Kluyveromyces lactis: one gene and its partners. The protein of the gene in region 1 purifies or fractionates together with the protein of each later gene. This does not show direct contact. Links are inferred from orthologs where the notes say so. Each region holds a gene or a part of one and is shown in the gene's direction. Other genes may lie near its edges.

What was found. The genes of interacting proteins can lie anywhere in the genome.
Region 2: the proteins of LSM8 (region 1) and PRP8 purify together in Saccharomyces cerevisiae (affinity purification with mass spectrometry; 4 studies listed by BioGRID, with this or other methods). This does not show direct contact. The link is inferred for Kluyveromyces lactis from reciprocal best matches to the Saccharomyces cerevisiae genes LSM8 and PRP8.
Region 3: the proteins of LSM8 (region 1) and SNU114 purify together in Saccharomyces cerevisiae (affinity purification with mass spectrometry; 3 studies listed by BioGRID, with this or other methods). This does not show direct contact. The link is inferred for Kluyveromyces lactis from reciprocal best matches to the Saccharomyces cerevisiae genes LSM8 and SNU114.

What each region holds. Positions count from the first base shown.
Region 1 is NC_006041.1:1,465,788-1,470,569, reverse strand, and holds LSM8 (U4/U6-U5 snRNP complex subunit LSM8), read left to right. Parts: upstream 1-2,521; coding exon 2,522-2,812; downstream 2,813-4,782. Other genes in the region: TES1 (palmitoyl-CoA hydrolase), read right to left, coding at 1-214; TDA10 (putative ATP-dependent kinase), read left to right, coding at 611-1,483; methylthioribulose 1-phosphate dehydratase MDE1, read right to left, coding at 2,851-3,468; KLLA0_E16413g (uncharacterized protein), read left to right, coding at 3,705-4,025; CIR1 (Cir1p), read right to left, coding at 4,143-4,782. UniProt on the Saccharomyces cerevisiae protein: Component of the nuclear LSM2-LSM8 complex, which is involved in spliceosome assembly. The LSM2-LSM8 complex plays a role in the biogenesis of the spliceosomal U4/U6-U5 tri-snRNP complex by accelerating PRP24-mediated annealing of U4/U6 di-snRNA.
Region 2 is NC_006037.1:471,930-476,229, forward strand, and holds part of PRP8 (U4/U6-U5 snRNP complex subunit PRP8), read left to right. Parts: coding exon 1-4,300. UniProt on the Saccharomyces cerevisiae protein: Functions as a scaffold that mediates the ordered assembly of spliceosomal proteins and snRNAs. Required for association of BRR2 with the spliceosomal U5 snRNP, and the subsequent assembly of the U4/U6-U5 tri-snRNP complex.
Region 3 is NC_006037.1:603,569-607,810, forward strand, and holds the start of SNU114 (U5 snRNP GTPase SNU114), read left to right. Parts: upstream 1-1,442; coding exon 1,443-4,242. Other genes in the region: TPO5 (Tpo5p), read right to left, coding at 1-1,283. UniProt on the Saccharomyces cerevisiae protein: Component of the U5 snRNP complex required for pre-mRNA splicing. Binds GTP.

The sequences.
Region 1 (4,782 bases):
CATGGTCTGGGTTACCTCCGATAAGGAAATAACAATGCAACGAACTCGGGTTGAAATCTACCGGAATTGTCTGCAAAGAAGCTAAAAGCGATTGTGAAACCAATATCCCGCCAAACGTCCCTCTACCACCAGGAGGAGCCTTAGGTTTGCTAACAGTTCTATACCTGGTCAGACTAACCTGCTGTAACCGTAACAAAGAGTGAAGCTTGTTCATTCTGAGCTAGTACTTTATTTCTCCAAATCTCCAGTGTCGTGTAGGATATTTCAACTGTCTTGTTCTCTCTACTTAACACCTAAGTAGCACTGGTAACTGGTCTAAGTATCTACCCGTATATATACCAATCCAGTATACCCCTCTTTGAAGTCACAACGGTGTGGAGTATGGTATCTTTTCTCTTCTTTTTTTGGTGTGTTCAAAGGCTTTGTTCATGAGAGTCATCAAACCTTTAAAGGTATGAATTGATTATCGCCGAAATTCTTGCCTAAGAGAACAATTTGAAGACGAAACCTTTAAAGGCAAACACAGCTACCGGCAAGATCTGCAACCATTGGAGACTGAAACCACCGTATGGTATTGGATTGCTGGGTTTGAAGAGAGATTGCAATAGAAATGAACGTTGCAGAGTTAAGCGTGGAGTTTGTTGAACAGAAATTGGAACAACGGAAAGTTCAAGGTGACAGGAAAGGTCCTTTGTTTGTGTTGGTTTCCGGGCCACAAGGGTCTGGTAAGTCGTATAATAGTGAGATATTGTTTCGTTCGTTGAAGAAGAAGGGCGTGAGAGCAGCATTGACATCCATTGACGATTTTTATCTGACCCATGAGGACCAATTGAAGTTACAGTCAGCATTCCCAGAGAATAAATTACTACATGGAAGGGGGTTACCGGGCACTCATGACTTGAAAGCATTGCAAGAGACATTGAAAGAGCTTGCAAATGATGAAGACAAAGTGCATGATGGTAAAAAGATCCAGTTGCCCGTATATGACAAGTCTAGATTTAACGGAGAAGGAGACAGGATTGGCAGTATTGATATTGAATTGCCATTGGACTGTGTGATCATCGAGGGATGGTTCCTTGGGTTCCAAGCCATTACAGAAACAGAATTGGAAAGGAAAAATTCGTCACCTATACTGTTGAACCACCAGTTGTTACATCTGAAACAAGTGAACCGTTCGTTGAAAGAGTACGGACAATTGCTATGGAATAATGAGTCATTGGATACTGTCGGTATCAAGTTCGCAACTGACGACACCAACAATGTATATAGGTGGAGGTTACAACAAGAGCATGCTATGCTAGCATCTCAGGGCGAAGGAATGACTGATGCGCAAGTGAAGGCGTTTGTTGATAGATATATGCCTTGTTATGAACTATATTATAAAAACTTCATTGACCCGAACACCGCGTTCGGCAAAACAAATCTTACCATTGCCATCGATGCCGACAGAAATGTGGTCAATCATTTCATTTCGCACTCTTGAACTTCTTCCCAGGGGATTAATACCCTGAGTCGTTGTGTCTGGTTTTGATTTAGGTGTTGAGATTCAGGCGTAGCGATAGATTCATGTCTCAATCTTTTCTCAAGCAACGCCTGCCTCTTGCTAGCTAACCTCATATCTTCATGCAACGTCTGGATGGCATCCGTGAGGTCTTGCATTTGTTGCACGACATTGAACATGACATTTTCATTCATGGTAAATCTGTCCATCCATTCTCGATGTCGTTTATCCATCTGCTTCGTAATATTATCCGCTAAAAGTTGCAAACTTTCACCGCTTGATGCCTTTAATTGATCCAAACGAGACTTTACTTCAGAGACAATCTCCGTTCCCGTTTCTTGATTACCATCTAAATACACACAGAAATAACGGCGACTTCTCGGAGTCTCATCCGTTATTTTCCTAGTTAGTAAAAACTGACCGTAGTGACTCTTACAAAGAATCATTCCTAAAGGGTATCAATCAACGACCAATCCACGTAGATAGAACTAAGTAAATGCCCTTATACTAAGTAGATATTCCTTTCATTGTGCATAGAAACCATACCTTTTCTACTGTCAAGTTCTGCTTGGAATAACTTTCGCGAATGGCTCAATTCATCCACGTTCTCCTTGATAATCTTGAATAGACTCTCAGACGTGTCCCGCAACTGCACAGTCTCCAACTCTAGACGACTAGTCCATTCTAAGATCTGTTTGTCGGCGTCTGGAATCTTTTTAAAGGGAGAAGACCCGTAATCGGTCTCACTTTCATTCTCTTCCGCCATTTCAACCGTGATTCGGAGCTTCTAACAATATTAGCCACAACACAACTCTAGATAACTGCTGTAGAAGCCTGTATACTTCTGTTATGATGTGTGATTCTTCTTTGTTGAAGATGTTGTTGTTATTGATAATAGAGAATCTTCAAATAGAAAACATTACTTTCAAATTATAATAGTAACGAAGAAAAGATAACGATCCATCGGAGCGAAGATATCCACATAACTGCCCCCTTGTTTGCTAGAACAGTGAATGGACAATGAGTGCTCTATTGAAAGATTATTTGGACAAGAAGGTGATGTTGGTCAATGTCGATGGAGACACATACTATGGTGAAATGAAAGGGTTTGATCATGCGGGAAACATGATTCTTTTAAAGGACAGCAAGATATGCATTATACGGAGTAGTGAAGTGGTATTATGTGGGCTGATAGATGATATACCAGAAGAAAAAGAACTGGCAAAACTTCAGAAGTTCCCAGCGTGTAAGAATAAGTTACCGTTTAAAGAAGAAATAGACATTTGGAGTGAGCGATGGGCTAACAGATGAAATATAAATAATGTTATACACAGCTGCTGGTCTCCCTTTCATTGACCGAGTTCTTTCATTTTGAGAGCTACTTCAAAGAGGTAATCGATGGACTCGATGTATATCTTGGCTTTCTTTGGCGTGGGGCCCCAAACGAAGAGTCCATGTCTTTTCACCAGTACCGCACATGCATTTGGATAATCCTTAATCATTTGCTTCAACGCTGGCATGAGATCCTGTTCTTCTGGAGCGTTATCGATGATTGGAATACGTAGGGTATCAACGTTCCTCAAATTGGTACCGTCACCTTTGGGTATCGCCTTGATTTGTTCAATGTCCTTGATGGTAAACTCCTTCTCATATATCATTGAACAAAGCACCGCATTGATAGAGTGCGTGTGTATGACGCACGAGGCACCCAGCGTCTTGAATAGCTCCAGGAATAACGGTGTGCACGCAGAGGGTTTCAATCCAGGCGCACCACATTGATAAGTATCGTCCTGTATATTGTATTTAACAATTTGTTCAGGTTCCAACAGTTCTTTCTCAATGCCACTTGGTGATATGTATGCGATGTTGTCCTGTTTAATGCCGATACCACCACCTGTACCGAGCACCCATTTGTTCACGTAGAACAATTGACACATGGAACATATTGTTTCACTGGTATCGCTCATTGTGTGTCGCTACATGTGGCATTATGTGTCTAATTGAAATTAATATCAACCATAGAATGAAGTTAAATGAATGAATCAAGTTTTAAATATTGTTTGCAACAAACTGATGAACAGAGGGTACAGAGAGAGTATATCAGACGACTTCAATAGTATCATAGCAGGTTGAGTAGCCTTCGGTGAGATCAGATTGTATAGTTGGAGATTATTCGCCACCATCACCAGGCAAATCATAAGTAATGGATTCAAAGTTAAGGAAAGTGGTATTATACCATGGAGTTGAATCGTCGGAGAAATGGCCCAAGGGGAGGAAGAAGCTAACTTTGCCCAGCCTTCAGTTGCTGCCGGATACAGACACTGCTGAATTGCAGCAAGTAATACAGTTTAATAGCGATATCGAGGAATTGATACGGCAACGACAAGAGAGCAAAGAGACGTTCGATAAATGGTACCAGGAGACGTATCTTGCATCGAAACCAAAGGGACTACTCGAACATTTGGCACCAAAGAGACGAGACATGAGGAAACTTGGGACCCCTGACAAGGATAATGCAAACTGAGAAATTGTTCGTACTCTTATATTAACTTATACAACGTGTTAACATTTTATACAATAACCACATATCATTCATAATATTATATAAGTCGAATGTTTCAAATCAAGCCAGAAGTAGTGTTCAAACCAGTTTGGCTTCCTTTAGCTTTGAGACCAATTCATCGACAGAGGAAACCTTGATACCAGCACTCTTGACTGGAGGTTCTTCGACCTTTAGCAGTTTCAATTGGGGGTCCAAATTGATCCCTTCAAAATCTTTCTTCAACTTCAACTTCTCCAAAGGCTTCTTCTTGGCTTTCATCAAATTTGGTAACGTAGCGTATCTTGGCGTATTCAAACGTAGATCAGTGGTGATGATCATAGGTAATTTTGCGACCACGATTTCTTCACCACCGTCGATTTCCTTGGTGACTCTGACACTGGCGCCGTCTTCTAACAATTCTACTTTACAAGCGTTGGTAGCTTGTGGCCAGTTCAACAAACCAGCGAGCATTTGACCAGTGTTGTTGCTATCATCATCGATGGCTTGCTTTCCGAGCACAACCAAGTTAGCATTCTTGTCTTCAACAATTTTCTTCAACACCTTGCTGATCACCAATGGCTCCAATTCGGTAGAATCATGCTCAACCAAAGTTGAAGAATCACAACCTTTGGCTAAAGCTGTCCTCAACACATCTTGGGCCTTCAGTGGGCCAACGGAAACGGCATGGATTGATTCGACGGCATCAGGATGAGTTTCCTTCAATTTCACAGATTCTTCC
Region 2 (4,300 bases), on another chromosome or scaffold:
AACGTGAAGAGTTAGCTTTAATTGAAGAGGCATATGACAATCCTCATGATACCTTGAATAGAATTAAAAAACTATTGCTAACCCAAAGATTATTCAAGCCAATACAACTAACAATGATGGATCATTATCAACACATATCTCCAGTCTATAACGTTGATCCGTTGGAGAAAATTACCGATGCATATCTTGACCAGTATCTATGGTATGAAGCTGACAGAAGGCAGCTTTTCCCTAGTTGGATAAAGCCAGGTGACTCAGAAATCCCGCCACTTCTTGTTTACAAATGGTGTCAAGGCATTAACAACTTAGATTCTGTATGGGACATCAGCAAAGGGCAATCGACCGTATTGTTGCAAACTGATTTACAAGAATTCGTTGAAAAGATGGATTTGACACTAATAAACAGGCTCCTAAGGTTAATTATCGATCCGACATTAGCGGATTACATTACTGCAAAGAATAATGTCAGTTTGATCTTTAAGGATATGAATCATGTTAACAAATATGGTCTAATAAGGGGATTACAATTTGCACCATTTGTTTATCAATTTTATGGTTTAATGATTGATATTCTCATCTTGGGACATGAAAGGGCACAGGAACTAGCAGGCCCTCCAAACGAACCATCTGAATTCTTGCAATTTCCAGATAAAGCTACTGAAACGAAGAGCCCAATTCGCCTCTACTCACGCTATCTTGACAAAATCCATATTTTATTCCACTTTGAAGAATCTGAGTCTGATGAGCTTATCCAAGACTATTTGATGGAAAACCCCGATCCAAATTTTGAAAATTCTGTTGGTTATAACAACAAGAAATGCTGGCCTAGAGACGCCCGCATGAGGTTAATCAGACACGATGTTAATCTAGGTCGTGCTGTTTTCTGGGAACTTACATCTAGGGTACCAAAATCACTTGTTAACATAACGTGGGAGAATACTCTTTCTTCAGTTTATAGCAAGAATAATCCTAATTTACTTTTCACTATGTGCGGTTTTGAGGTGAGAATACTACCGAAATCTCGGATGGAAGATGTCATTTCTCATGATGAGGGTGTATGGGATTTGGTGTTGGACTCCACAAAAGAACGGACTGCCAAAGCGTTTTTACAGGTATCACAAGAAGCTATTGATGAGTTTAGAGGTCGTATTCAAAGTATTTTGATGGGTTCCGGCTCCACAACTTTTACAAAAATTGTGGGCAAATGGAATACTGCACTAATCGCTTTGTTTACCTATTTTAGAGAATCTATCGTCACGACAGAACCGTTACTCGACTTACTCGTGAAATCTGAGACTAGAGTTCAAAATAGAGTAAAACTCGGCTTAAATTCTAAAATGCCAACAAGGTTCCCTCCAGCAGTGTTTTATACACCTAAAGAGTTAGGTGGTTTGGGAATGCTCAGCGCATCGCACATTTTAATTCCCGCTTCTGACTTGAGGTGGTCAAAACACACAGATACTGGAATAACACATTTCAGGGCAGGGATGTCCCACGAAGATGAGAAGATGATACCAACAATTTTCCGATACATTACTACCTGGGAGAACGAATTTTTGGACTCACAGAGAGTATGGGCGGATTATGCTGCTAAAAGACAAGAAGCCATAAAACAAAATCGTAGGTTGGCATTTGAAGAATTAGAGGGTTCTTGGGATAGAGGTATACCGCGGATCAGTACCATATTCCAAAAAGATAGGCATACGCTAGCCTATGATAAGGGTCACAGGATTAGGCGACAATTCAAAGAGTATTCAGTGGAACGTAGTAATGCTTTCTGGTGGACAAATAATCGTCATGATGGTAAATTATGGAACTTGAATGCCTATCGTACGGATGTCATTCAGGCCTTAGGGGGTATCGAAACAATTCTTGAGCACACATTATTTAAAGGAACTGGCTTTAAATCATGGGAAGGACTTTTCTGGGAGAAAGCCTCTGGTTTTGAAGATTCAATGCAGTTCAAGAAACTTACTCATGCACAAAGAACTGGTTTGAGTCAGATCCCTAATCGTAGGTTTACGTTATGGTGGTCTCCGACGATTAATAGAGCGAACGTCTACGTTGGGTTTTTGGTGCAATTGGATTTAACAGGAATATTCTTGCACGGTAAAATTCCAACATTGAAGATATCTTTAATTCAAATTTTCCGAGCACATCTATGGCAAAAAATCCACGAAAGTGTGGTTTTCGACATCTGTCAAATTCTGGACGGCCAAATGGATATACTACAGATTGAATCTGTTCAAAAAGAATCAATTCATCCACGTAAGTCGTATAAGATGAATTCGTCTGCTGCTGACATCACATTGAACAGTATTTACAAATGGAAGGTTAGCAGACCAACATTGTTGCATCAGACGAAAGATTCTTTCGACGCTACCACAACTGACAAAATGTGGATCGATGTGCAGCTTAGATATGGTGACTATGATTCTCATGATATATCAAGATATGTCCGTGCGAAATTTTTAGATTACACCACAGATAACGTGAGCTTGTACCCGTCTCCTACTGGTATTATGATCGGTATTGACTTGGCCTATAATATTTACGACTCCTATGGAACGTGGTTTGAGGGATTGAAGCCCTTGATACACAACGGTATGAAAACAATAATGAAAGCTAATCCAGCACTTTACGTTTTGAGGGAGCGTATCAGGAAAGGTCTTCAGATATATCAATCTCAAGTTCAAGAGCCATTTTTGAACTCATCCAACTACGCAGAGCTATTTTCCAATGACACAAAATTCTTTATCGATGATACGAATGTTTACCGGGTCACTGTTCATAGAACTTATGAAGGCAATGTGGCTACTAAGCCTATCAACGGATGCGTGTTTACTTTAAATCCGAAAACAGGTGAACTATATTTGAAAATAATTCACACTTCGGTGTGGGCGGGGCAGAGCAGATTGGCTCAATTGGCAAAATGGAAAACCGCAGAAGAAGTAAGTGCATTGGTTAGATCGTTACCCAAAGAAGAACAACCTAAACAAATTATAGTTACTAGAAAAGCTATGATGGACCCTATGGAAGTACACATGTTAGATTTCCCAAACATTTCGATTCGTCCAACTGAGCTCAGATTACCTTTTTCTTCTGTTTTGAACATAGAAAAATTAAATGATGTTGTTTTAAGCGCTACAGAACCGCAGATGGTTTTGTTCAACATTTATGATGACTGGCTAACTCGAGTTTCTGCCTACACTGCTTTCTCTAGATTGATATTGCTATTAAGAGCGCTCAAAACCAATGAAGAAAAAGCCAAAATGATTCTATTAGAGGATCCTACAATCCCAACGAGAGCTAATCATCTATGGCCTTCTTTTACTGATGATCAGTGGATTGAAATTGAGACGAAGATGCGTGATCTAATTCTCTTAGAGTATGGTCAAAAATACAATGTAAACATTGCTTCTTTGACTCAAACTGAAATCAAGAATTTGATTTTAGGACAGAACATTAGAGCTCCATCTGTTCAGAGGCAGAAGATGGCAGAATTGGAGGCTGCAAGAAATCAGAAAACTGATGAGTCGTCGCAGTCTGCCACGGCAGCCATGAAGCTAAAAACAATCAATGCTCAAGGTGAAGAAATTACAGTGGTGTCATCCAGCAATTATGAGTCCCAATCTTTCAGTTCGAAAAATGCTTGGCGGTCAAATGCAATCTCCAATTCATTGCTACATTTGAAGCTTAAGAACATATATGTTACTGCCGAAGATTTTGTAGAAGATAAAGATGTCCTCGTATTCCCACGGAACTTGTTGAAGAAGTTTGTCACAATAGCTGATGTCGATGTCCAAATTGCAGGGTATATGTACGGGTCACCTGTAAAAGATCACCCTAATGTGAAGGAAATTAAGACGATAGCACTTGTCCCTCAACTCGGCAGTTCCGCAACTGTTCGCATATCTCCTCCCCCCTCATCTTCCAAATATCTCAACGACATGGAACTGTTGGGATGGATACATACCCAAAAAGTCGATTCCAAATTCATGTCACCATCTGAAGTGATCACTCATTCCAAAATGTTTTCAGATCATAACGAAAGTGCTGTTGATTTGTGCATAAATCTAATCCCAGGTGCCGTATCAATTACAGGATATACGTTAAGCACTACGGGTTTCAACTGGGGCTTACAATCGAAAGACATAACGGACCCTTCACCAGAAGGGTTTGAAGCTTCATTTAGCGAGACTGCACAGATTTTATTATCTGAACGCATTATGGGCAATTTCTTGGTACCTTCGTCATCGATATGGAATTACGCTTTCATGGGAACTGCTTTTAGCGAAGA
Region 3 (4,242 bases), on another chromosome or scaffold:
ACCTTAGATTCTGACGCAGGATCCACATAAGTCCAGAGGTGATGATATGGAATACCACGATCACGGCTTAAACTGTACAGTGCTCTTGAAGATGTAGTCACCGAGCCAATACCTGAAAACAATAGGTTTCCCAAGATCAATAGAACAAGGAAGATGGAAACGAATAACGATTTAGTAGATTTTGTGAAGATAAGCACGATGGGCATGACACCTTCATGATTCATTACCTCAGAGACATCAGGTAGAATGAGCATCATTGGGATCAAGAAAAATAGTCCGGAAACTAGTGAGATTATCACAGAGCGTGTCATACTGTAAGGAATATCTTTCTCTGGTTTCTCAGTTTCGTCAGATAATGCCGATAACATCGCAAACCCTTGGAAAGTGAAATTAGATTGCTGAAACCCTCCAATTAAAAATGACAAGGCCATAGAACTATACCCCGACAAACTATTATCGAATTTGGTAAAGACATCCTTGAATGATCTATGGTTTGGTTGGAATAATAGGAGAAGTGTACTTGTGAATAATATCGCATATAAGATCCAGTAAACACAGACCTTATTGATAGTTTCAATGAAACTTGAAAATTTTAGATTAATGACTCCAACCACAGTCACAATGAGATAAAACATTAGCACAGTCCATAACGTCAACCACCGGGAGTCTATCAGAGATTCATTAGTCATTGTCAGCAAAGAAATAATCAATTGTGCACCCGCAAACGTAATACTAGTGCTCATCGTCCAACTTCCAAACAACATTAGCCAACCACAGTACCAAGACATACGCAACCGAAGTCTGCCAGGCGCAAGCATGGCCGCTGCACCGTGAAGTTCTATGGGGTACTTCGAGACTATCTCACTGAGCGACAGTGAACTAATCCACGTCATTATCCCACATATCAGATACCCAAATATTATCGATGGAGATCCACCATTTAGCAATCCAATACTCATAGTAGTGCTCATACCAAGTACGGGACTCATCAACCCAAACCCTAGACCAATAACAGAAGTCCGCGAAAGTAAATTCTTGTCAAGTTGCTGTACATATGTAAACTCTTTAACCTCATCGGGAATATCCTGGTCTTCCTCGTTCAATAAAGACAACAATCGCTCGGGAATGTGTATGTTCCCGTTAAGATTAGAAAGCCAGATGTATTCAGGCATTTCAAAATGCAGTTCGGCTCTGTGTGACCCCTTGGTAAGCTCACCCTTTTTATTTCCTAGAACCCTTTCGGCATCCGTCTTGGCAAAATGTCTGTCTTTTCGAGGGCTCATCGATATTTTCAGTTCTTAGACATTATGTAAATGTTGACGAAAGTCAAAGCTTCGAGTAATGAAGATAGAATGATAAGCACATGCATTGCTCTTAGGGAAGACTACTGCGATTTGGGTGACGTGACTCAGCACTGAGTACTTTTGGAAGGAAATACAATAATGGATGAAGATTTGTACGATGAGTTCGGTAATTTCATTGGGGATCCAATGCAATTAATCGATTCTGATGATGATAGTTTGGAAGAAGTAGGAGAGCAGGAAGCTCAACATGAATTACGGCAAAAGATAGTCGAGGCTGACTCTACCGATGTGGTACTTCGAGATGTGAACCGTGATTTCGATGATGATGTTGAAGTTTTGTTGGAAGTGGAAGATAGAGAACCTGAGAAACCATTGATTGGGGACGATTCGAAATCATATAGCGAAGCTGTTAACAGGAAAGTACCTAAAGCACTATTTGACAGAGGGTACTTGAAAAGCCTTTTCTCGATACCAGAACGTCAGTTAAATGTTGGAATTTTCGGGGCGCTACATTGTGGTAAGACTTCTTTCACGGATATGTTTGCGTTAGATACTCATCGCAATCTTCCGTCCTTGACAAAAAAAGTTAAGGAGGGATGGGTACCGTTTAGGTACCTCGACCAAGCGAGGATAGAAAAGGAACGTGGTATTTCGCTTAGATTGAATGGTATGTCGTTTGCATATGAATCGTCAAGAGGACGTACGTATGCAGTGACGATGTTGGACACACCTGGACATGTAAATTTTTGGGACGATGTCGGTATTGCTTTGACTGCTTGCCAATATGGTGTAATCATCGTTGATGTGATAGAAGGAATTACTTCTGTAGTTTCCAAACTGATAAGAGAATTGATAAGTAATGGGATCCCCTTTATCATCGTTCTTAACAAAATTGATAGATTAATTTTGGATTTGAGACTTCCTCCTACAGACGCATACAGCAAACTACAATATATCGTGAACGAAATAAACACATATACCAAAGAAAGATTCTCACCGGAGCTAGGTAATGTACTCTTTGCCAGTACCAAGTTTGGATTCTTATTCTCTGTGGAGTCTTTTGTGAACTCATTTTACGCTAAATCGTTAAAGGATAAGACAGAACAATTTGCTGCTCAACTTTGGGGTCAAATTAATTACAGAGAAGGAGCATTCTACCAAACAGAATTTATTACGGACAACATTGCATTCATTCAGTTTATTTTACAACCTTTATACAAGGTTTTCACTCATACATTATCTGCATCCGAGGAAGAACTAAGAACAGTCATCGAAACCAATTTTCAAATCAGGCTTTCAGATGAGATTCTATCAAAGGATCCTCAGCCGCTACTTTTTAGCGTGTTTCATGCTATACTACCGCACTATCACTGCTTCATCGATGCTATTGTTTCAACACAGGACCACAAAATCAACAACTTATCATCCGATGAAAGCACTGTTGTACATGTATTGAGACACATGAGCCTGGAAGGTTCCAAGTGGTCCCTTTGTCGGATAATAGAGGGCTCAGTGAAAAAAGGCAACAAACTCTATATTTTCAATGAGTCCGTAGACTCTGTAGTAGATTTTGGTGATGATGAATACTCCAAGGTTACTATTGAGCGTGTAGCCTTAATGGGAGGTAGGTATGTCTACGAACTCGAGGAAGCAATAAAAGGACAGATTGTACTTTTAAAAGGTTTTGAAGATCAGTATACGAAATATGCAACTTTGTCTTCGAGCTTGATGAACCCGCTAGCACCAATTAACTATCTCAACGAATCGGTGTTCAAATTCGCCATACAGCCTCAGAAACCAAGTGAACTACCGAGACTATTGAACGGTCTTCAACAAGCAAACGAATTGTACCCTGCATTAGTGGTTAGAGTTGAAGAAAGCGGCGAAAACATCATAATTGGAACAGGAGAACTTTACCTTGATTGCGTGATGGACGAATTACGGAAAAAATTCTGTGAAATTGAGATCAAAGTAAGCCAACCGCTTGTGCAATTCACGGAAAGTTGTCAGAACGAATCGTTCGCGTCAATTCCTGTAAAGTCAAACAACGGTGTAGTATCACTCAGCGTTATGGCCGAAAAATTAGATGGAAAGATAGTACACGATTTGACGCATGGTGAAATCGACAGTTCAGAATTGAATAACATGAGAAAGTTCTCCAAACGTCTAAGAACCGAGTATGGATGGGACTCATTGGCAGCTAGAAACTGCTGGGATTTATCAAAATGTAATGTATTCATTGACGATACTCTACCTGATGAAACGGATAAGCAACTACTCAAGAAATATAAAGAAAACATTTTACAAGGGTTTGAATGGGCTGTGAAAGAAGGACCATTGGCTGATGAAACAATCCATGCATGCCAATTTAAACTCTTGCAATTCAAGGTACAAGAAGACAGCATCGAAGATATCATCCCATCTCAACTAGTGCCAATGACGAGAAAGGCATGTTACATTGCGCTAATGTCTGCTACTCCAATTATCATGGAACCCATCTATGAAGTCGATATTATCGTATCGGGGGTATTGGAGTCTGTGATTCAGAATTTATTGAAGAGACGCAGAGGTGGAAGAATTTACAAGACAGAAAAGATAGTGGCATCACCATTCATAGAAATAAAGGCTCAATTACCTGTCATCGAGTCGATTGGATTTGAGACAGATCTTCGTGTTGCGACCGCCGGTAGCGGAATGTGTCAAATGCACTTTTGGAATAAAATATGGAGAAAAGTGCCAGGTGACGTACTTGACGAAGAAGCCTTCATACCGAAGTTGAAACCAGCGCCTGCTGCAAGCCTAAGCAGGGACTTTGTGATGAAGACAAGACGTCGCAAGGGTTTATCTGAAAGTGGTCACATGACTCAAGACGGGCCATCATTAAAGAAATACATTGATCAAGATCTATTCAAGAAGTTGCAACAAAAACGATTTGTAT